Coturnix japonica: one gene and its partners. The protein of the gene in region 5 interacts with the protein of the main gene of each other region in a biochemical or structural test. Links are inferred from orthologs where the notes say so. Each region holds a gene or a part of one and is shown on either strand. Other genes may lie near its edges.

Evidence for each region.
Region 1: the proteins of KLHL12 (region 5) and LNPK form a complex in vitro, tested with the Homo sapiens proteins (2 studies listed by BioGRID, with this or other methods). The link is inferred for Coturnix japonica from reciprocal best matches to the Homo sapiens genes KLHL12 and LNPK.
Region 2: the proteins of KLHL12 (region 5) and PDCD6 form a complex in vitro, tested with the Homo sapiens proteins (2 studies listed by BioGRID). The link is inferred for Coturnix japonica from reciprocal best matches to the Homo sapiens genes KLHL12 and PDCD6.
Region 3: of the proteins of KLHL12 (region 5) and SEC31A, one has a biochemical effect on the other in vitro, tested with the Homo sapiens proteins (3 studies listed by BioGRID, with this or other methods). The link is inferred for Coturnix japonica from reciprocal best matches to the Homo sapiens genes KLHL12 and SEC31A.
Region 4: of the proteins of KLHL12 (region 5) and DRD4, one has a biochemical effect on the other in vitro, tested with the Homo sapiens proteins (2 studies listed by BioGRID, with this or other methods). The link is inferred for Coturnix japonica from reciprocal best matches to the Homo sapiens genes KLHL12 and DRD4.
Region 6: the proteins of KLHL12 (region 5) and FBXL17 form a complex in vitro, tested with the Homo sapiens proteins (3 studies listed by BioGRID, with this or other methods). The link is inferred for Coturnix japonica from reciprocal best matches to the Homo sapiens genes KLHL12 and FBXL17.

Annotation. Positions count from the first base shown.
Region 1 is NC_029522.1:14,608,957-14,612,570, reverse strand, and holds part of LNPK (endoplasmic reticulum junction formation protein lunapark), read right to left. Parts: intron 3,614-3,614; coding exon 3,543-3,613; intron 2,280-3,542; coding exon 2,109-2,279; intron 1-2,108. UniProt on the Homo sapiens protein: Endoplasmic reticulum (ER)-shaping membrane protein that plays a role in determining ER morphology. Involved in the stabilization of nascent three-way ER tubular junctions within the ER network.
Region 2 is NC_029517.1:80,102,809-80,106,930, reverse strand, and holds the start of PDCD6 (programmed cell death protein 6), read right to left. Parts: upstream 2,828-4,122; 5' UTR 2,759-2,827; coding exon 2,697-2,758; intron 1,461-2,696; coding exon 1,399-1,460; intron 1-1,398. Other genes in the region: EXOC3 (exocyst complex component 3), read right to left, coding at 3,969-4,122. UniProt on the Homo sapiens protein: Calcium sensor that plays a key role in processes such as endoplasmic reticulum (ER)-Golgi vesicular transport, endosomal biogenesis or membrane repair.
Region 3 is NC_029519.1:41,246,205-41,249,818, reverse strand, and holds part of SEC31A (protein transport protein Sec31A), read right to left. Parts: intron 3,242-3,614; coding exon 3,142-3,241; intron 2,292-3,141; coding exon 2,130-2,291; intron 1,931-2,129; coding exon 1,778-1,930; intron 1-1,777. UniProt on the Homo sapiens protein: Component of the coat protein complex II (COPII) which promotes the formation of transport vesicles from the endoplasmic reticulum (ER).
Region 4 is NC_029520.1:661,132-664,165, forward strand, and holds the end of DRD4 (D(4) dopamine receptor), read right to left. Parts: intron 1,999-3,034; coding exon 1,886-1,998; intron 1,776-1,885; coding exon 1,222-1,775; intron 871-1,221; coding exon 668-870; 3' UTR 597-667; downstream 1-596. UniProt on the Homo sapiens protein: Dopamine receptor responsible for neuronal signaling in the mesolimbic system of the brain, an area of the brain that regulates emotion and complex behavior.
Region 5 is NC_029541.1:903,464-907,077, reverse strand, and holds part of KLHL12 (kelch-like protein 12), read right to left. Parts: intron 2,940-3,614; coding exon 2,833-2,939; intron 1,945-2,832; coding exon 1,749-1,944; intron 1,368-1,748; coding exon 1,209-1,367; intron 1,105-1,208; coding exon 1,006-1,104; intron 473-1,005; coding exon 286-472; intron 90-285; coding exon 1-89. UniProt on the Homo sapiens protein: Substrate-specific adapter of a BCR (BTB-CUL3-RBX1) E3 ubiquitin ligase complex that acts as a negative regulator of Wnt signaling pathway and ER-Golgi transport.
Region 6 is NC_029547.1:42,394,061-42,398,341, reverse strand, and holds the start of FBXL17 (F-box/LRR-repeat protein 17), read right to left. Parts: upstream 2,898-4,281; 5' UTR 2,796-2,897; coding exon 2,052-2,795; intron 1-2,051. UniProt on the Homo sapiens protein: Substrate-recognition component of the SCF(FBXL17) E3 ubiquitin ligase complex, a key component of a quality control pathway required to ensure functional dimerization of BTB domain-containing proteins (dimerization quality control, DQC).

The DNA of each region.
Region 1 (3,614 bases), on a different chromosome or scaffold from region 5:
TTACTAATTATCAAAACAGAATAGTTCATACCTTGTAGGTGAAATATTCAGAAAAGACACGGTATTTAAACAACACAGAAACAAAAGTCAACAGACCAAGTTGTAATATCTAATTTCTCTCCCCAGAATTTTCAGCATGTACTTCTTAACCAGGAAAAGATAAGTAGGAAATGACTCCCATAGTGGTTTAATATTTGTTGGTTTTTGTTGTTTTATGTTAAAGAAACACACCAAAACACAAAGACCACAACCAGAAAAAAAGTAATTTTCAGTGTTAAGGGTAAATCAAAGAAAAATGTTTTTTTCTAAAAAAACCTACTTTGAGAAAAGCAGTATTTCACAGAATTTTCACTCCCACATCTCAACTGCCTAATGAAACACTAATTCTTAAAGCTTTCTTTTTTTTAACAACATCTATAAACTGACTCAGCAGCTCAGACCCATTAAAAGTATAGTTTGATAAACATTACTTCAAAGATAACACTAGCTTAATTAGCACACCCTCTCTCAAAACCTCTAAAAGGCTGCAGCTGAACGTTACTCAGATGCCCTCAAGGCACGTATCTCCAAGAGTTAAATATCAGTCTGCAGGGGCTTCCCTGTTTGATTCATACAGAATCCCTGAGATCTGAAGACCCCATTAACTGTGTCTTTTCTACAACAATCTTCTGCTTTTAAAAGTAGTCATGAATTTATCAGTCCATCCACTATTAGCTGAATAGATCAGACAATTAGAGGTCAATGGTGAAATTTGCATGGTCTGGCTTCACACATCTGATTTAGTTCTTGTTTTGATACTTATATCATAAAAGTACACTTAAGTAGTTAAGTACACCTATCTCTGTTGTCATTCTACTGTAGTTCTCCATCTCCTTAGTTATGTGAATAAAACTGTTAGCAACAGCTATATTTACATACTTAAGACAGATTGTAACCTGTGGCATACTGGCAAACACAAGGGGAGAGAAATAAAATATGCCGTCTTAAATACTTGTATGTGGAACTTTTCAGTCTATGTCAAAAGGAATTTCTTACCTCCTTTACATTGCTCCACAATACATACAAACCAGACATTATCCTTTCAGGCGAGCCAACAACTGGTTAGGGAACTACACTGAAACTAGCTGAGGCAAGCTGCCCAGTTACAAGCACTGCTTTGACAGGAAAAGTAGCCAAGCAAGTTTTCCTGCAGCGCACCTTTCATCAGATCACACCCACAGAGATGGCTACAGCTAGATAATTCTTCCCTACCAGTCTTAATCAGCATTCCCATGCCAGAAGGAAAGGCTGATGCCATTTTGTACTCAGTGTTAAAGAGTAAACAAGTATTGTGTCACAATATGACAGTCTACTACAGATGATGAGCTTCCAGACTGAACATCTTAGACAACTTTTTCCAGTATACTCCACTATTATTTGAACTAAGGCAAAATGCCAGTAAATACACAAGAATGTAGCCAACTGGAGAGTCTTGGGTTCAAAACTATAATTCCCAAAGTCTTTTAAAACACTGCATCTTCCTGTTGGCTGTACACCAGATGCCTACTGTATCTGCAGACTATAAAACGTCTCAAAAGGAACTACGTTAAATTAAAATTGACAATTTGTCTTTGAACTCCCTAATTCTAAACAAGGTGGTTTTTACTAGATTTTCCTGCCCTGGGGAAAACAGCAAAAGGAACAAAGGCAGAAATTCCAACACAACTTAATCAAATGACCTGCTGAACACAGTTGAAGTTAACCACTTCGCTCCTTAACAATGCTATTTTCCATGAGTTTATCAGTAACAGTGGTATAAATAATTTTGCCGTAACATCATTTCCAATGGACATACTGCAAGAAACCTTGGAGTTTTAGACCAAAAGCAACAGTATCAAGTTAAGCTATAAGCAGGGACAAACAGATTGGAAAAATTAGACGGTACCTACTATAAAGCTACTTCTATAGAAAAACAAAATCACCCAGGCAGAGAAATACTAACACACAGTTAAGAGAAACATATAGACATTACACATCAGTAAAAGATGGCACACTCAGTACCAGCATGCATGGGGAAATTGCCATTTCATTGGGCACTAAATAGGAGCAGACTTGAGATTAACACGTACCTTCTGCCTGCTGATTCCCCTGCGGTTCGCTCTCTCTTGATTCTGGATGCTCTGTTTCCGATTGCAATTCTGAAAGTTGCTTTTTCTCAAACTTGAAATCTGGAAGCCGAGGAGCCCGAGGCCTCGTTTTTCTTGCAGGATTCAGGAAAAAGCAGTAGGCACACCTAAATGCTGCACAAAAGCACATCCAGTAAATAGCCCCACTAACTGATTTCACATCTCACCTTACTCCTGCACAATATCTTGACTGTCCAAAATACTATAAAGAGAATTAAATGACTATCAACATCAAAGCTTATTCTCATCAAATTTATACAAAGTGTTCTATTTAGTTTTGGTTTTTGTTGGGTTTTTTTTTCCCTTTCAGCACACATTTACTTATTAAATACCTGTTTGCTTTCAGCTCTGCTGCGCTTCTGCAAGGATATTTTTGCCCATAATTGTGAAATATGTACTGAAAATTCAGTACCAGGAGTTGTTGTCACATGCTGTTCTATTCTTTCCTGCAAAAGACCTAAACCAGCAGATTACTTTTTCCTTAAGATGCCAATGTTCTCGTCTTTCAAGTAAAGGGATGCTGTGGACTCTAACGCATTCCCTCACTATCTGCTCTTAGAGGAGCATTCAGTTCCAGTGTTGCTTAATTAAGAAAATGCAATTTTCTTCTGAAGTTCTGTATACCACATAACAGCTAAACACATATTTTCACCAAGACATGAGTGGAGGGAAATGGTCATCTCTTGCACAATAGAGCTGCAAACACACTTGAGCTGGGATGACATACAGACTAAATATATTCAGACTCAAAGGAAACTTCCATCTTATTCCTTTACAGTGCTGTATATTTTCTCACAAAATTAAGAGAAACAAGATTAAATAGACTTATCTACCATTCTCCCATTTTTCAAACATCAGGCTTACACTTGTGGTAGAAAGAAGGCAAAATAAAACATCTGTGTTCAATAATGAGCTGTGTCTGTCTTAAGTTATTGTCTGCTATAAATTCACATATAGCCTCCCAGGGCTTGTTCCCACTCCTTTTTCGATGTCTCCCCAAGATCTTCTTACCAAAGTAAAGTTTTAAGTTCTGGTAAAAGAGGAATACTTCAATGTCAGATCGTTTCTCAACACAAAACCCACCTGAGAACCATTCCAAGTCAGTACCAATTCTCAGGGATGTATTGGAGGAGGTTTATTTCTACTGAATACTTTTCTGCACTCAACCCCTGGCCTGGAGGTTGCAGAGAAGTACTTCTTTAAATCTTAAAGTGAATCTTTAGACACAGAGTAGCAAGCTACCATAAAACTGTTCCCATACGCAGTGGCATTTAACAGTGTCAGTTGAGTATTTAACAGCAGTCAAAATGAAGCATCACATGCATTTGTTATGAAACACAAGCCAACTACTACAGTCTACTACAGGTGTTTCCTTACCTACATATTCAAACTCCTCCTTCAGAGCCATACCATTGTGAGAACAACACTGCTGACATATAAGCGCATACC
Region 2 (4,122 bases), on a different chromosome or scaffold from region 5:
CTACTCCTCATTTAACAAAGCTGCTTTGAAGTAACTGTGGTCTTGATGACTTCTGACCAATGCTCTAATAATGTTGCACAGAAACCCAACATTTTTCAGTCTGCATAAAAAAACACCCCAAAACATAAACTAAAATCCAGCCGAGAACCAAAGCCTTAGAAGAACCAAGAATGGTTGTCAGGAGTCTTTTGCCCATTTCTCATTAATAAAACTAAAAATCTGACTGCTCCCTATTCTACAGATGGGTTACTCCAGGACACTGAAAAGAACAGGTTCTTAACATCACAAGAGGCACACAATGCGATTTCAAGCTGAGTTTTGTATAAATCCCCTCCCCATGCTGAATTGAAAGCATTGTTTAAATGAGTGTGTTTTCAGGCCAAGAAATGTTAGTGCTTGGGCAGGCCTGAGCACAGCCGTGTGTAGAGGAGCTTTGGGCTTCTGTCAGCAGCTGCTACTGAATGTGGAAAGGCTCCTCACTTTGGGCCAGTTTTTACTGGGTTGGAATCACTCCAGAGTTCTAAAGAGCAGAGTTATATTATTTCATGTCAAAGAAAGACATGACAACAGACTAATACAGATTCCATACAGAGAAACCACAGCAACTCTGGTGCTGAAGAACTGTACTGATTTCAGCTTGCAGGTAGCCAGCAGCAGCCTACCTCCTCCTCCCCTGACACAACAAATACCTCAGCATGTCAGCACAGGAGAGAAAAAAGAAACAAAAGGCAAGAAGGCAGCACAGTATTTTACTGTGCAAACAACTCTGTTGTGTGGTCTCCCATCCTTCCCAGATACATGTACTACTACAGCCATAAATTTGGCACGTTGAAAAGCTGATCTTCAAGAACGCATTGAGCTTCAATATACAGTGAGAGCAGTGAATACTTGCTTAGTGTTCTCGAAAGAAACACGTTACGTTCTTTTGGCCCACATTGGACTGTGACACACAACCACCCACAGAGGATGTATTCTAGAAAAAAAAAACAACTCCACCATCCCGAATGACCAGCAGGAAGGAAAATGTGACGACTGGAAAGAAGCGTTCAGTTTTCATTTGGCTACCCAGAGCTATTTGACCACGCCCCAGTTACGAGTCAAGCGAGGTCTGAAGTACAGCTTTCTACTTGGTTAGGAAAAGAAAGTGGAGAACAAATTGCCTCATTTACAAATAAGAAATTAGCACCTTCACTTCCTGCACTGTACTGAATGAAGGGCTCTTACATGCAGGAAAAAGGCTGGCTGTAAACATCTGACCTTTGCTCTGGTTCAAAAGGGAAGGTGCAGCAGAGGTGGGCAAGGAGTAAAACGTCAAGACCAGAAGAGTCGAGTAGCCAGACTGGCATGGAATGTAGCACGAAGTTCACAAGGGGCCTCCTTCCCCCTTCACAGACTCACCATTGGACAGTGCCTGCTGAAGCTCCGTGTCTGAGATCACTCCACTCCTGTCTTTATCAACCCTGGAGGAGGGGAGAAGAAGTGGCGTGCCTTGAGGTGCTGAAGTGAACAGAATTTAGCTACAACCCTCAGCATTTCCGTCCCTACCAAATAAATCAGTCACGGGCGTGGGGCAGCACAGGGCTTTGCTCACAGAGCCACCCCAGGCCCCGCTACCAAACCCTGCCATGTAATCCTAGCAGAATTACAACCTGCTTATCTTGCTCCTGACCATCAGTCAGCACGGAGCACATTCATTTGATATACAAAACGACATGAATCCTCCTCACAGCCATCGGGTATCTACTCTGGAATTCATCTACCCGTGATACAGCAATCAGGATCCAACCGTGAAGGTGACACAGCCCGGTCACTCAGTACAGCAAGGTGCTCCTGCCAAGCCTTCACACTGCAGGAATCCGCCATGACACCTGGAGTGCACGTTTGTGCTTTGTTAGTAGAAAAAGGAACAGATGCCTTATAAAAGTCCAAACATTAAGTCCATGTAACCAGAAGCTGAAGCTCGTGCTTCAGCTGATCATTCACCCTCTGTTCCCACAGATGCTCTTGAACATATTGAATGAAGATCCCAGAACTGCTGCATCAATCAGTGTGACAGAATTTCCCTTTCAGCCAGTTATTTACCCGCTGAAGGACTTTCATTCTGTGCCTGCCAGATTTCTCTAAAGCTCCTCGATGCTTATGGCTGAAAGCTTCTTTGGAAACTATCTGAACTACACCAACTGTAGCAGCCTTATCCATATCAATAAGCAATCCCCACACATACTTCCGTCAAGTTCCCAGATAAAGTGCTTTTACACAAGGGTGGTGGACAAATGTCACCTCTCTGAGTCACTGCTGTGTTCTGCCAGGCAGTTACTGTTACTCATTGCTGATCCAAACCTCGCACGGTTTGTGTTGGAAGGGCCCTCAGAGCCCACCCATCCCCACCCTGTGCCATGTGCAGGGCTGTCCCCAGCAGCTCAGCTGCCCAGGGCCCCATCCAACCTGGCCTTGAGCACCTCCAGGGATGGGGCACCTCCCCGATTCCCATTTGGCAGACGCCTTCAGGTCACCTCCTTGCCCTACCCCGCCTCCCCAAGCGCTCCTTGCAGCTCTCCCTTAGATTCCCGCTGCGGGGACACAGCCGCAGAGCTCGGCCGATGCCCGGGGCCCATTAGAGGCATCCAGCCTCCTCCCAAGGCCCGATCGCTCCCCGTGCCAGCTGTGCGGGCAGCCCCGAGCCCCCGCGGCCTCACCTCTGGAAGACGTTCCACAGGAAGGAGGGGTCGGGCAGCCCCATCCCGTGAGGCGCCGCCATCACGGCCGCCCCAGCTCCGACAGCGCGACTCTCCTTCCGCTTCCTGGGGCGGGGCGAGCGGGGCGGGGGTGATGTCAGCAGGCAGCGCCAAGCGGGGAAGCACCATGGCGACAAGAAGCCGGTGCTTCCTAAGGCCGTGCGGGCCCGGCCTGGAACCCGCGGCTTCCCTGGACTGTCTATGTAAAATCAGCTTTTACATAGAGTCATAAGGTTGGAAAGGACCTACAGGATCACCTAGTCCAGCCGCCCTCCCATTACCATACCTACAGCAAAGCACTAAACCATATCTCGTAGCTCCTCATCCAGATGCCTCTCGAACACTGACAGGGATGGTGACTCCACCACCTCCCTATGCAGCCATTCCAGTGTCTGACCACTGTCTGAGAGATAAAGCTCCTTCTTATATCCAATCTAAACCTCATCTGGTACAACTTGCGGCCATTTACTCGGGTCCTGTTTGTTGCCTGGCAGAAGAGGCCAAGCCCCTCCTCATCACAACCTCCCTTCAGGAAGTTATAGAGAGCAATAATGTCTCCCCTGAGCCTCCTCTTCTCCAGGCTGAACAATCCCAGCTCCCTCAGCCGCCCCTCATAAGGCCTGTGCTCCAGACCTTTCACTATGTAAAAGTTCATCCCCCCCCTCAGCCAAAACACAGCACACACAGCAGAACATGGCCATGGTCCAGCATTTTATTGAACAAGTGATGATTCGTGTGCTCTTTTTAGTGAATCCACAAAGACATATTGTACCTCATGCTGTTTTTAGCTATTTATTTATTCCCTCTACAGTCCCGTGGCCAGGAAGCTGGCTCCATAATTAAGGTTTTTGCCATAAACTATTTTACACCCAAGTAATTACATACACCAAGTTTAACGTGGGAGTGGAATGGGGACATTAATGTACACCCAATGCTGTGCCATGGGACGATGACTCTAGGACAGCAATATACACCCAGCACTGCCACAGCCGTGTTATTTTCAGTGTAAGTATCTTTATACATTTGCAATGCCACATTTCACGACTCAAAATGTATTTGCTGACAGCAGCATCAGCACCTGTAGAAATCTCATTATATTCCACATCTTCAGAAAGAAACAGATCTAGTGTGCATCGAATGTTACTTGAAATAGCACTGCCAAACTTGCCCTCTAATACTTCACACCCATCAATCCCACACCAGTGGGATCCCACACATGAACAGAGCTGTCCATTACTTAAGTAGTTTCGGCACAGTTAGAGTAGGAACTGTAATTTCTTTAAAAATTGGCACGTAGTTTGGGTTGGGTTGGCTTGGCCCTTGATCCAAAGTCTCGATGATAGTCTGCTTCATATCTCTGCTGGCATCTCCCCTCACCGTCAGCAAA
Region 3 (3,614 bases), on a different chromosome or scaffold from region 5:
CACAAGCAGAGCATGTAAAAATGCAAGTACGCACTTGGATATGTGTGAAAAAACTATGCATACATAACACACGCACATGTTTTCATTTGATACATAAATGATCATTCAGCAAACAAATATCAGCTTGTATCACCACCCCACATTCCCATGCAATAAAGCAGCTCGCTGGATAAGTGTGTGTGAGACCTGAGAAATGGGTCTGTGAGTATCTGGTGCTATGACAGTGCTGTACAAGGTGTGGCAGCAGTTAATTTTGTTCACTGCAGCCCATGCAGTGCTATGTTTTGGACTGGTGATTGAAATAGCGTTGACACCACACCCCTGTTTTAACTGTTGCTACATGACAGTTACACCACATCAGAGTATTCTGTGTCTCAAGCTCCCCCTCCAGCAAGGAGTGGAGGAAATGGGGGGACATCTTGAGTTATGGCATTTCTCTTACCAAATACCCACTATGCATGATGAAGCCCTGCTTCTTCAATGCTTAAACATCTGCATGCCAGTAGGAAGGGGTGAACGTATTCCTTCCTCCTTTGCTTCCACATGCAGCTTTTGCTTTATCTATTTAAACCGGCTTTATCTCAATTAATGAGTTTTCTCACTTTTATCCTTCTGATTCTGTACCTAATCCAACTGTAAGAGAGCCAGTGGGCAGGTAAACGAGGTTCAGGGGCTTACTAGGGTTAGCCCACAACACACTAAAAAACCCTATGCATCATTAAATAGATGCTCAAGTATCATGTGTACCCTACTTACAGCAGCCTGTTTACAAATTCAAACAATTTCGGCAGTGAATTGAATTGAAATTTAGAAAGAAATAAAACCAACAGAAAGGAAAGGAAAAAAAAAAACAACATTAAATGGTGCCTAGAATACGATTTCATTTTATAGCTTAAAGTCAACTGACACAGGCCAGACCAAAGTGAGCATTACAAAAACTATGGCCAAGAAAGAGGCTGACAAATTGGAAAACCAGGACAAGGAAATAAACTGTTATAAAATGACACATCAATCAGTGGCTAGGCAATATTGCTTCTACTTGAGAGGAGAAAAGCTGCATTTAATTTGTGGATGAGATGACGAATAAGCAGACACACTGATAAAAACAAAGGCAGTACTTTGGCACAGCAATCCATTTCAAGTAGACTGTCTGCCTAAAAATCTTCATTAATTCTCTTGGGAAACAGCCTCAGAGTCCAGAAAGCAAGGCACTGGTGGTAGCTGAAGAGCAAATGACCCTGCTCTCATGAAAAGCAGGGCCTTGCCTGCCTGTCATACAGCTTCTCTGCAACTCCTACAATGAGAGAGGAGCCCAGGCCTGTGTGCTGTTTCAGGGGCTCCTGCTACCTTCCATCAGAGCATACCTAGTTATCTTTCTCCACGCTGAGCCATATAATGCCTACAAACTGGACTGAAATCTCAGCTAGTTGCCCAACTTGTCCCTTCCAATAATACATTTGTTTATTCAAAGCAAACACTACACAAGTAAAAGCAAAGCCCTCAATTCCAAAACAGAAAGAAGTGCCTCTGGGCAACACAATGCCTCCCCATTTCTTTCTCCAAGCATTTTTGTCATGCTTTTGCTGGCATGCTGTCCCAAATGCCCAGTCCAGATGCTGTTTTGAGCATCTCCTGTCACCCCAGCAAACAGGGCACACTCTCATGATGTGGAACACAATGACAAATTCCCCTGTTTCAGATGTGCTTTGCAGGTGCCACCACTACCTGTATCTCCCTCCTGCCTGGCCAGCTGTGCCCAGACACGGTCCCTACTCACAGAGAACGATGCTCCCACAGGTCGCCGGATCCATTTGGGGGGTTTCTTTAGGGGCAGAACGACGCTCTGTGGTGCAGTCTGCTGGGGAAGCTGCAGGGGTGGGAGAGGCTGTCCTGTCCCAAATGGGTCAAGGTTCCCAAATGAGGATGAAAGCTTTGAAAATAAAAAGGTGTGGAAAAAACCCACAAAACCTAGAGTGAGACATCATCTCCAATAAACTGAACTGTTTCTTTTTTCTACAGCAGATTAGTACTCCTGCAAGCACACAGTTGGGACACCCTCCAAAGGCTACCCACAAACCCATGCTTTATCCCCTTTCTAACCATTTTCTTAGCTTCATGCTTCTCAGTACCTGGTCAACGTGCTTCTGCCTCAACCCGTCCGTGCTGCCTCCCATGATAGAGTAAATGCTGATCCGTCCATCGAATGCAGCTGCAGAGAGGATGGCAGGATTTCTGGGACACCATTGGATGTCAAAGCACCACTGCATGTTTGTGGGCAACTCATAGAGAACCTGGGCAGCAGAAACAAGTCCGGTACATCAGAGTGAATATGAAATACCATGAGCAGCAACAGCAACTTTCCTGTGTGCCCAGAGACGAAGCTGCTCTTCTTGCTCCCCAGCAGCCCCCACATCACCCATACACACTAACAATGAGGACGTGACAATCCAGCACCACACACCACTGCTTTATCTCCTATTCCCATTGACTTTTCTGTTTATTCCACATATGGTCAGCTAAGCAGGCAGTGTATTTCTGTGCTGCACGTGCAGCTACTGACTTGGCTCTGTGCATTGTGACGAGCTGCTGGAACTCGTGGTAACTCATCCACAAAACATGGGAACACACCCAGGCTCCAAAGGCAGTATGTTCTGGGGGACAACTGGGAGAGTTAAAACCTATGCTGCTCCCAGGAGTTTCTCCTGGCCCAGAACAGACAAGTTTACCACTACAAGAGACATTTAATCTCAAAGAAAGGATTTGTTCTTTGCTTGTCTACTAAAGTTTTGCTGAGGGGGCCAAGCAGTAACTGCATCACTGTCTCCCAGGAAAAGGTTTTTATTTTACATCAAACTATGCAGTATGAGTCACCCAAACGTAGAGCTCCCCAGCTCAGAATCCAGCTTGGATCACACACCTGCTATCCCACCTTTTGCCTTACACTTCTGCAGCCAAGTCTGGATTCTGACAGCACATCTCTCCCTGTCTGCAGAATGATCTTGCCCACACAACAAGCAAGAAGTCCATATTGCAAAAATTAGTGAAAGTGCTTGAAAACAGATCAACTGCTCTTAAATTGCTGCTTTACATAACACCATGACACCTCCAAACAGTTTTTAGTAAGTGATGTGCATACAGTACCTCGCCCGTGTTAGGGTTTGAACACAGTATTTTGGCATCCTTCCCACAGCTTAGTAGCAGCTCTGAATCTGCCATACTCCAAGCAATAGCCAATATACCCCTGTGTGAGAAGTCACAACCAAGTAACATATTAATACGAATGCAAAATGGTGATACAGCATGTTTGTCAGCAAGTTGCTACAGTAGCTGAGCAGTCTACGTCAAAATGTCCTCCCCACTCCTTCTTCTGTTTTTTGCATGAGTAGCTGTAAAGGTACAGTCACCATAAATAAAATTCAATTAAATAAAATTAAATTCAACACTTCTGTATGCAGATATGGTTACCAATCCACTCAAATGGTTCGACTGATTGCACCATCATTAACACATTTTATGCAAACTAATAGGTTGAAACAGTGATTATCAACATTCTGACAGCTTTTTATTAGCAGAAAATCTGTATCAGCTGAGCGACTGGCAGCAGTTTTGGCGGT
Region 4 (3,034 bases), on a different chromosome or scaffold from region 5:
ACTGGTGGATGAGTACATCCAATGCTTTGGTTACGGTCTGAATTTTGTTTTTATTGCATTTTCTGATTAAGGAGGTTCTGAAGAGCATGAGTGGGACAGCAATCCTAAATGAAGATGTGTCGGTATGACTCACGTGTGATTAAAGTTCTCTAGAAGCTTCTCATCAGGGCCCTGGCATCTGGGGGAGCCAACCCCTATAACACAGCGAAGACTGCAGTGTAATTGTCGTGGCAACATCCTGTGTTTATGTGTTGATGATAAACTGATGAAGCAATCATTACCCTCAGTCGAAGAAAATCTCAAGACCTCCCAGCAAGTCTTCTTTATTTCTAAGCAAACAAATTACCCCTTGGAAAGCAACAGCCCTGCACGAAAATCATTAGACAGAAGATTGCCATTCTGTGCAACATCCCGCCGTCTTGTGGGGTTTCTTGATGTCTGCGTCAAGCACCAAGTGTTACACCTGCAGTATCCAAGCTGCAACCACTGCACTCACCTGTAACTCCTCACAGTGGAGACAGAGGGCTGAGAACCACCGTCTTGGAGCTGCCATTTTGAAACCATGTTTCCCTCCTCCCCAACAAAGACAGCAGACCTTAGGCAGAAATAGATCTTTAATGAGCTATACAAAAAGTGATCCTGGTCATTCCCTCCAGTTCCAGTGAGCTCAGCAGAAGAGGTGCAAGACTTTGCGGAAGAAGTTCCTGAACTCGGCGTTGAAAACAGTGTAAATGATGGGGTTGACGGCACTGTTGACGTAACCCAGCCAGGTGACGGTGCTGGTGACTTGAGTGGGAATGGTGCAGGACTTGCAGAGAGCCCTCGTAATGTGGACCACAAAAAAAGGCGTCCAGCAGAAGAGGAAAGCACCTGGCAGGAGGAGATTAAAGACAGAAGGTATTGTATTGAAAAGGGTTGGGGTTAACAAGTGCAGAGCTACCATCCCTCCATGACATAAGATTTTGGGCAACTTCCTAAATGCTGGTGAAGAAAAGATGTGAGCTGTGTGTCATTTTTGGATTAGCATTTAAAACATCAGGAGTCACAAATGCTGACAGCTGAAGTGAAGGTTGAATTAAAAACACCCAGGAGTGATGCTACTCTGGATCAAAGGGAAACCGAGGCACTCAATGGACCGGGCTCAACAGAATCCTGAACCCTATAAGAACACACAGCACATTTCCCACCCTCCTTGACCAGCCTCTTCCACCGGCCACTCACCAACAACCACAGGCAGTACCCTCATGGCCTTTCGTTCCCGGCCGTTGATCTTGGCCCGCTTCTGACTGAGCGCTGGGTGTGGGTACTTGAGGTGTGGGTAGGAGACAGTCTGGAGCCCATTGCTCATCACATAGTCCCCAGGAAGGGGGTGCTCAGGGTGGCCGTAATGGTGGTACTCCTCCGGCCCCAAGCCAACCCGCTCTCTCTCAATGAAGGGCGAAGGGGGATAGAGCATTCTGTTGCCCCCGTAGATGCCACCCCTTAGCTTGGCCTTCCTGGCTTCTTCCCAGCGCTTGAGTCCTTGGAACATGGCGCAGTAGAGCACCAGCATGACGGGGCAAGGGATGAAGAAGGAACAGATGGAGGAGTACACGATGTAGTTGTCATCCTCCAGCTGGCACAAGCTGGGGTCTCGGTTCGGGACATTGTTGAGGCCGAATATGACTGGGGATGCCACAGCAAAGGCAAATATCCACGTGGTGGAGATGAGGATCAGCTGCCGCAGGTCGATCTGTCGCCGGTTGTAGTTCAGCGGGACTGAAACAGCGATAAACCTGCCAACACAAGTGGGTCAGTGCTCAGGTTGGGGTAGTACAACTGGAAGCAGCTTGATGCTGAGACATGATCCCTCTCCTACGGCATAAGGAGGAAGAAGGGCACTTACCGATCCACGCTGATAGCACAGAGGTTGAAAATGGAAGCTGTGCACAGCATCACATCCATCGTCATCAGGGCATCGCAGAGCACAGTGCTGAGGGACCACACACCCCCCTGAAACTGAAGGACAAGATCCCTGGGTCAGTGGGTGCCTTTGACATGCAGGGAAACAGCTCTGTATACATGTGTATAATATGCCCCTCCACTTGGGTGTCCAGTGACCTGTGTGGAAACCTTGAGGTTTTTGACATTCATGGTCCTCCCCATTCACATCTGCAGGAGCAGGCAGCTCTGCATGGATTAGTATCGGTCAGTCCTGATGTCACACACAGGATTATGATTAGTGGAGCTGCAAAGCCAAAGGAGACTCTGGAGAAACTGGTGGGTTATTTTTATATCCCCATCCCCTTGAGAGGCCCCATGAGCTTCCAGAAGAGCGCTGGAGTCAGACCTGGGTGTTTAATTCGGGCTTTTCTCTAGGGTAAATCAGCTGCTCCAAGCAGAACATGGGAGCTGAATCCTGAAACAACCCTCACGTTTTGTTACCCAAGCTTCATTAGGAACCTGACCAGCTTTGCTGGACAAAACCTGACTCGGCTGTGGTGTTCAAAACCCATTTGTGGCTTCAAGGAATGGATGTGTTCTGAGCAGGCCCTGAGCTGCCAAGCTGCAGCACCCCCAAAGGACACAGCCTTCGCCATGGGCTCACGTTGGGTGCCCAGAATCACTCTGCTTGGAGGAGTGACTTTGGATTAGAGGCAGAGCTGGCTTTGTTTGGTCATGTGGCTGAGCGGTACCTCATTCCAGCAGGTTGCAGAAGATTAGCCCATCAAGGTACACACTGTAAAGCTTTAGGGATCACAAACAGCTCAAGCCGCCTTTAACAAGCGCTCCAGAACAACTCCAATTAGTTTTTCCCCCACATTCTTTGCTTTTTTAGCATAAGACCCTCCACTGTTTTCTTTTCCAGTAGTGCTGGATGTGGCACCAGCAACAACCTTGAAGTATCCTGAACAAGAAGCCGACTGCTTCTGCATCTGCTCTGTTGGAGAGAAACACCTTCCCCAGCCTGCAGAGGTTCAGCCTAAGAGTGCAGAGCTGCTAAAAGAGTTTCTTCTTTTCCATAATCTCTTACACGGATCTTAGTGGCAAGGAT
Region 5 (3,614 bases):
GCTGCATCCCCAGGGAGGTCACCACTTCCCAGCTGTCGATGATGGGATCGTAGCACTCAATGCTGCTCAGCAGTGAGTTGCCATCGTACCTGAAGGGACAGAAAGTCACAGCTGAGGGGTGCTGCCACAGAGAGGGGTTGAGATGCTCAGAGTCCTCCCAAGTAGTCTTGATGTGCATTCAAGAGGCTGAATGCAACGCAGCCATGGGTTGTGTCACTTGGAGTCACTCGCCCCTCTTGCTGACACACAGAGCACCTTCCCCTCCAGCCCATGGCCATCTCTTACCCAGCGATTGCATACAGCCTTCCCCGCAGCACGGTGGCCCCCACGTAGCAGCGGGGGGTGGTCATGCTGGTTACAGTGGTCCAGGAATCAGTGCGGATGTTGTAGGCTTCCACAGAGGAGAGATGCGCCGTCCCATCGAACCCACCAACAACATAAATGTGGTCGTTCAGCAGAGCAACTCCGGCACCTGCAGGGAGAGGACACAGGAGTGCTGACAGTGCTGTGCCTAGTGCTGTAACTCTAACCCTGCCAACTTCTGCTCAATTTCCAGTGAGGGGGAGCGAGCAGCTGCAGCCAGGGCAGCAGGAGCAGCATGAGGTACTCAGCCTGCAGCCAGCCTGACAGCTGTGCCTGTAAGAGCTGCTGTGCTCAGCTGCCCCAGTAAGAGCAGTAATGCTGTTGGCCGAAACTGGCTACACAGTGGCTCAAGTTGTCAGCGTAATGCTGTCCTAACAGTGCTGCTCTCTGCTGTCCTGGATGCCCAGGAGCTGAGCCCCAGTGCTTGCCTGAACACCCCTCACTGACTGGGCCCTGCAGCTAACAAGTGCTGCCTTCACACGCTGTCCCATCACATTACATACGTTAACTGTGTTGCCTGCTCCTCACCAGTTCCTAATTAGGGCAGTCACAGACTTCCTCTCCCCACAGCCCATAAAGTCACACTCACACTCCTTTATGGATCCTCCTCCTGGGGAGCTAAACCAGCACACAAGCTCCTACCTGAGCGCTTAGTGGCCATCGGTGTGACGTTCGTCCAGTGTCCCGTGTGGGGATCGTACCTCTCCACAGAATTCAGTATGTTCAGCCCATCATAGCCGCCTGAAACACAAGAGAGGAGCAAACTGTGCGCCATCCCAGCGAAGCATGGCACAGCTTCCAGGGTCTGCTTCAGGATCTGCATGTTGCTGCCTGCGGGCACCTACCGAGGCAGTAGATAACTCCGTTGGCTACAACGAGCCCCGCTCCTTCCCGTGCTGTCTGCATGTCTCCCAGCATACTCCACTGGTCAATGTTTGGGTCGTAGCGTTCCATGCTGGTGTGGCGTCGGCTCCCATCAAACCCACCAGAAACATAAATCATATCTGCAACGACAGAGCAGGGGTGGGCTGAGCACAACGAGCACCGAATGTGCACGTGGAGCACAAAGGCCTTCATAGACACAGCAAACCTACAATGTGGACTGCAAAATACAGCAACCACAGCAGAACTTGGCATGTTTGAACCTGAGAGAAATGCAGACTGCTCACCCTCACGGTATCAGCCTGCCTGCAGATCAACCAACCAAGCCCAGAACCCAGCCAGCCCTTCCAGCTGCTTATCCACCATGAGAGCTCCTCCTCCACAGCCCCTCCTTGAGCTCCCATTGCTCAGAGCACAGTGGCACAAAGAATGGAGACACAGCAGAGGTGGTTTCCATTGTTGTAGCCAAGCAAAGAGCTCCAACGATCTGCCCCAGGATGCACCTCCCAGGGTTGTGGCTCCTGCCAGCCCGCGCCGCACGTTCATGGGTGCTACGGAGTACCAGATCCCATCCTCATCTGATGTGTAATCCAAGCACTCCACGGAGCTGAGGCGGGAGCGGCCGTCGTAGCCCCCGATGACATAGATCCGGTCATGCAGGGACACAGTCGCGACGTAACGCCTCTTACGGGTGATGCTCTGAAATGAGGAAGGAAAACAAAGGGTCAAGGAGAAGAAACAACCCCCCGTGTGTGCAGAACAACTGCTGTTCTATCCCATTTTTGCTGCTTTGTTGGAAGAGGCACCTCAAGGCAGAGGCAGATGACAGTGTGGATTTCAGCAATCCATCTCTGGCTGAAATGCACCAGGACTGCATCTGCTTTCTGCAGCTTCTGCTGCCCGGGTCTCTTTGAATGCACAATACTTTTGTACAATGTCAGCTTATCTCCTGTCACTGCTGAATCCCTGGCACATCCTGGAGGTGTGCATGCCTCCCACCGCTCCCTGTCAATAGGGAAACGTGGAGGCTACAGAGATCTGCTGGATGCAGCTGAAGCTTTTGGCCTCCCAAAAAAAGAACTGAATTTTGGGAGAGAAAGCAATGTAAGTTCCCTGTGATTAGCAGTAACAAAGGCCTGCGCTGCTTCCTACTGGTACAGCTGCTTCTAAGATCGCACTGCAGAAGTTATCTCTAAATAAATCCCTTCCCACTCAGACCCAACGTGAGCAGGGATCACGCAGCCTGCTGTGCTCACAGCAGCACTGACCCCAGTGCTCCCACTGACACCCCAGATGCCACCTCCAAACTTCACAGCTCAACGCCCCTTGAAGACAAAACATGCTGCCCTTCAGCTCTCACTCCCACAGCACAGATGCAGCCTCTGCAGGTTCAGCCCAGCAAATAAGGCAGCAACCTCTCCCACAAAGCTTTACAAGCAAAGTGATTCCAGCGTTTACTGCATACACCTCCACAACCCAAATGAACTGAGGACAGCCCAGGGAAGGTTATGTGGCCAGTAGCACACGATCGATGTTTGATGTCAGCGTGCCTGTTCTGCTCAATGATGGTCAGAAAAGGTCCCTTACAGGCAAGAAACTCCACTCGTGGGTCTTCGGGTCGTACTTCTCCACAACATCTATGGGTGACTGCTGGCTGCCAAAGCCGCCGATCACAAGCAAGACTTCATTTGCTCCTGCAGCAAAGAGGGAGAGCAAAGCCACATCAGCTGGTGTGCAACCATGGGCGCAGAGCTGAGCCCTGTGGGCATCATGCAGCACAGCCACTGCAGTCCATCCAGGAAGTGAACAGGCAACACGAGGGCGTGTGCTGAGAGTGCTCCTGACAGCAGTGCTATCAAATTGTTATACAAAAGAAGGCAGAATGCAGAAGGTGGACCTTAGAAGCAAAGCGCACAATTTTCACCTGGATAATGATGTGAATTTGTGACATTCCCTTTATCAGCTGAGGCATTTCGACCCAGAACAGAGCACAATGCCTCTCTGTAAATGGTGGCTTGAGCTGAAGTGGATGTCCCTGAGCACTGATGTGGGGTGTTCCTGGAAAAACAGGAGCTGTGCTGTGGGTGGACTATGTTGGAGGTCGAAGCACACCGCACTGCCTTCAGGACAGAAATTACTCACCATGCCTCTCAACAAACCAACCTGCCCACCTCCCAGCTGCCCTTCACCCTCCCACGTTCCCCATTCCATCTTCCCTCCAGTGCTGCCATCTCTCACCTCACCCTGTGAATTTCTGACACTGATAACCACCTTTTAGAAACTCTGCCCACACTCCTGGGACGGCTGCATGCTCAGACAAACCCATCTGGGAGCACCAACACAGGAGCAGGGCAACCAGCTACTCCCTG
Region 6 (4,281 bases), on a different chromosome or scaffold from region 5:
TAAGATTAATTTCTGTTTTTCACAAAAATATTGCAGCGACATGGGAACAGGCAAAGCATTTGTTGTATGGCCCAAAGATTTCAATACTGAGTGGAACGTAGCACAAAGTTTTCCAAGCATCTCCATTTCATGCTTACAAACACTGGGAAGGAAGGGCTGGCTGCTCTGCCTTACCAGCCAGCAGGAAGGAGCTCAACAGCTCTGCTAGAAGCCAGGCACTGGTCTCTGTCCAGAGCTGCAAACATCCCAGCACCAGGAGCAACAAACAAGCATGTGACAAAAACACCAGCAGCACTGCTTTGAGAAAACTTCAGTCCTAGAGCAGAACAAGGATTCAGGGAGATCTAACCCTGAGCCTAAGGCTCCATCTGTCCTGCCCCAGGAGCTTGGCTTTGCATGGGAATGAGGGGAAATGATCTGCACAGTCAGGAGTAGTGAAACAGCACAACCAGATGTGCTTGCACAGTACTTGCCTGCAAAGTATATGTAAACCACTGCAAGCTGTAATGGGGGGCTGCTTCCAGAGAGGCATGAGAGCGGCATGACAAAGTCACACTATTAAAAGAACAAGTTTATGATCATGCTAGACTGCCATTTTTGATAATGTGAAACTGGACACGTGCTGAAGAGACTACAGAAGCCATACAACTGATGAGAAGAAGTCATTAAGGTGTACTTATGCCAGTCTGATCTCAAGTTGTAACAGCCCAATACCAAGGATAACACGAGGAGTCACCTGCGGCACTGAGAGACGTGGTTTAGCAGGCATGGTGGTGATGGGTTTGTGGTTAGACTAGATGATCTTAAAGGTCCCTTCCAACCCTAATGATTCTATGATCTTAAATTAACAGTGACAAAGAAATGGATCCTTTATTTTAGTAAAACTGTGAGGCAGAGTTTTGATCACAGAAGAGATTAAGACAGATATGGCAGTTTGTGATTTCTTAAATATCTGCCACGGGGGAATTTGGGCAGTGAATCTACTGAAAAAATAAAAAAAAATGTTGCATGCCATTACAACATAACTAAGACAGGAATGCATATTTCCAAAACAAAACAAACCACTGCCAACAACAAAAAACAAGCACAGACTTAATTTTATGTGGAAGACCAATAGCAGAATGTCAGTGTTTGTGGACAAGAGATCAGAAATCACTTTCAGTGCTGGGGTTGCACAACCAGAGTTTACAGAGAGAACGGATCTGGTCACAGACAGGAAGAGCCATCTGTCACACTGCTCTGTTAACACACTGCTTCAAGTTCAGCCATCTAACCCCAAAGAAAACTTCTGTAGTACTCCAAGTCCAACTGGTTCCAGTCTGAAGGAACCCTGACAACAAACTTTGGAAAACACTGCAGACTCCAGCTCCAGCAATGGTTCTCACCTGGTCTAAGGCTCAGCTGAAGAACAGTGTGTAGAATGATAGACCGAGCAGCCTGAACTATAAGTTACTCTAGAAAGCAAACAGTAATCAAGGAACCAAAGCACAGCAGAAGGGAGAGGAAGCAAAGCAAGACCCGGCATATACAAAGCAATGGGCTGTTAAAGAACAGAGCTCAGAAGTGCTACAAGAATTCATTATGACTGGAAGCACAGTAAAACCAAGACGAACTCAGAACACAGCCTGGAAGAAGCTGTATGCCCCTCAGCACAGCCTGCTCGTACCGCTCTGACTCGCACAGAACGAGCGGAGCTCACCGGCTGCCCGCCTGCTCCCGAACAGCCGACCCGGAGAGCACCACGCGTGCGAGGTGCGCTACAAAGTCATGCAACAGGCTGAAGTCGAAGTGCTTCCGAGGCAGCGCACCGCGACTGCCTCCGCTTCAACTTCAGAGCTCACGCCGCACAGGGTAAGGGACCAAGGCCGCTCCTCCCGTACCTCAGCCGGGCCGGGCCAGCAGTTCGGGCAGGAGCACGACCGCGCGTGTCCGAGGAGCGGCCGCAGGTGAGGGGGCTGAGCCGCGACCCCCGGGGCAAGGCGGGCGGCTGCAGCCCCACCCGGGCCTACCGGCCCCGCGGCCCTGAAGGCAGCCCCGGCCCGGCGACCCACCTTGAGCAGGATGGAGGGCGGCAGCTGGTTGATGTCGGGCGGCGACGACGGTTCCCGGCAGCCGTCCCCGGGGTGCTCCAAAGGCTCCTCGCCGCTCCGCTCCTTCACTCCCTCCTTCTCGTCTCCGGAGGGAGGGGGCGGCGGCGATACCGACCGGTCCCCTCCGTCTCCGCTCCCGGCGGGGCACCTCGGCGGCGCGGTCCCGCCGCTCCCCGCCCCGTCGGCGGCCGAGGGCAAGGCGCAGGGCTGCGGCTCCGCGGGGCACTGGCAGGCAGCAGCTTCGGGGTCCGCCGCGCCGGCGGCGCAGCGCGGCTGCTTGCAGGGGGTGCAGGCGGGCAGGCCGGCCCCCTTGCGCTTGCACACCATCTCGGAGACGGCCTCGCCAGGCGGCCCGGCCGGCCCCAGGAGGCCTCGCACCGGCGAGGGCAGCAGGCCCGAGAGGAGGAGGCGCCGGCAGCGGCCGCGCGGCTCCCAGGCGGCGGGCGGCAGGCGGAGGAGGCGGCGCGCGGCGCGCTGCTCGGCGGCGGCGTGGGACGCGTAGGGCGGCGGCAGCAGCGGGTCCCCGGCGGGCAGGGGCGGTTCCGGGGCGGACGAGCTGGCGCCGTGCACGATGAAGCAGAGCATGCAGGGCCCGCGCAGGAAGCAGCTCCGGCTGCGCGGCGGCACCTTCCTCCCGCGGCGGCGACGGCGGCCGCCGCTGTCCCGGCTCAGGCTGCTGGCCTCCTTGGAGAGCAGGTGGCCCATATAGGAGGCGGCGGCGAAAGGGCCCGCGGGGCGTCACCTGCGGGCGGCGGCCGCTGTCATGCTGCCGGCGGGGGCGGCAGGTGGCGGCGCCGGGGGCGGCGGGGCTGGTTCCGGGACGCGGAGCCGGGAGGGAGACGCTTCCGCTACCGCCGCCCTGACCTTCCCCGCGGGACGCGAGGAGGCGGCGCTGCGGAGGGGCCGCCGCCGCCGCCCGGTGGTGCTGCCGCCAGCGGCCGGGCCGGGAGCCGCCGCCGGAGAGACGGCCGGGAAGGGCCTGGAGGCCCGGCGGCCTCACTCGGGTGGAGACGGGGCCGCCCCATCACGCGCGGTGCGGGTGCGCTCAGGTAGAGCGAGGGTGCGGGGCTTGCGAGCGCGGCGTCTGTAGGTACGAGCGTGCGGACGGGGAGCCGCGGTACAGGAGCGCGGCGGCCGCGCTGAGGATGCTCCGGGCCCCGCTCTGCTCCCGGGGGCGTGCGGCTGCGGTGTGCGGAGCGAGGCAGAAATAAATCGATTGGTCAGAGCCGGTGGGGAAGCGGACAGGAGTGAAGGCGAGGCGTTTGCGATGGCCGAGTAACGCAAGCTGAGGGACTGATGGAAGCGTTCTGCTTCCGAAGCCACGTCTTCTCTAGCAATGCCTTCTTCACAGCTACACGCTCCGGCGAATCCCGTTTCCTGCTGTCTTGAATCGCTGCTGACCAGCACCTTTGCCCCTGTGTTACAGTTGCTCAGAGTGTGTACATCTTTGCAAATATAAACCGCAGTGCCGTAATTAGTACTGTCCACAGCAAACTTATTTTGCGTGTTTCAGGATTCGGTTCTAAATTATTGACGTAAAATGACTCGCATGTATAGGTTTAAATATATGAGGGACACTGCCTTTAGTAGAAGGTGTTTGGGGAGGGAGGAGACCAGCTGTAACTAGGATATATAAGGTACAGTATTGCTACTTAAAAATGAAGGGCCAGAGCAGAAGTGCACAGTGCCAGGTACTGTGGACAAAATCTTTGGGCCTGTTGCCCAGGAAAATGTTGTGTGAGGGTTAAAATACCTGTGACACTATTTTCCTTTGATTCCTCTTTATCAACCATTCAGTAAAAATAGGTTTGCTGAGAAGAATACTAATACATTATGTGATAAAAGTAGCATAATGTAATATTTTATCTGAGTTTTTAACTCACTGACACCCATCAATATAAACTGCAGCAGGTTCTGGCAAAAAAATTGGCAGGTCTATTCATCTCTCAGATTTACATTCTTTATTTTTATAAGAACAAATTCAGCTTGTAAAGGCAGTTAAAGCCAAGCACTCAAACTGAACAACATTCAGGAGAAATGCTTACAGTATCAAATATTCCAAACTAATCAGCTATGTCTGTGCAACTTCTAAAGAGTCACCGTGGCCTTGTCCTTACTCACATGATCACATAACTGCAGTACTTTTGGCAAAGGTGACTGACTTCTCTATGTTGCTTTTACATCTTACAGT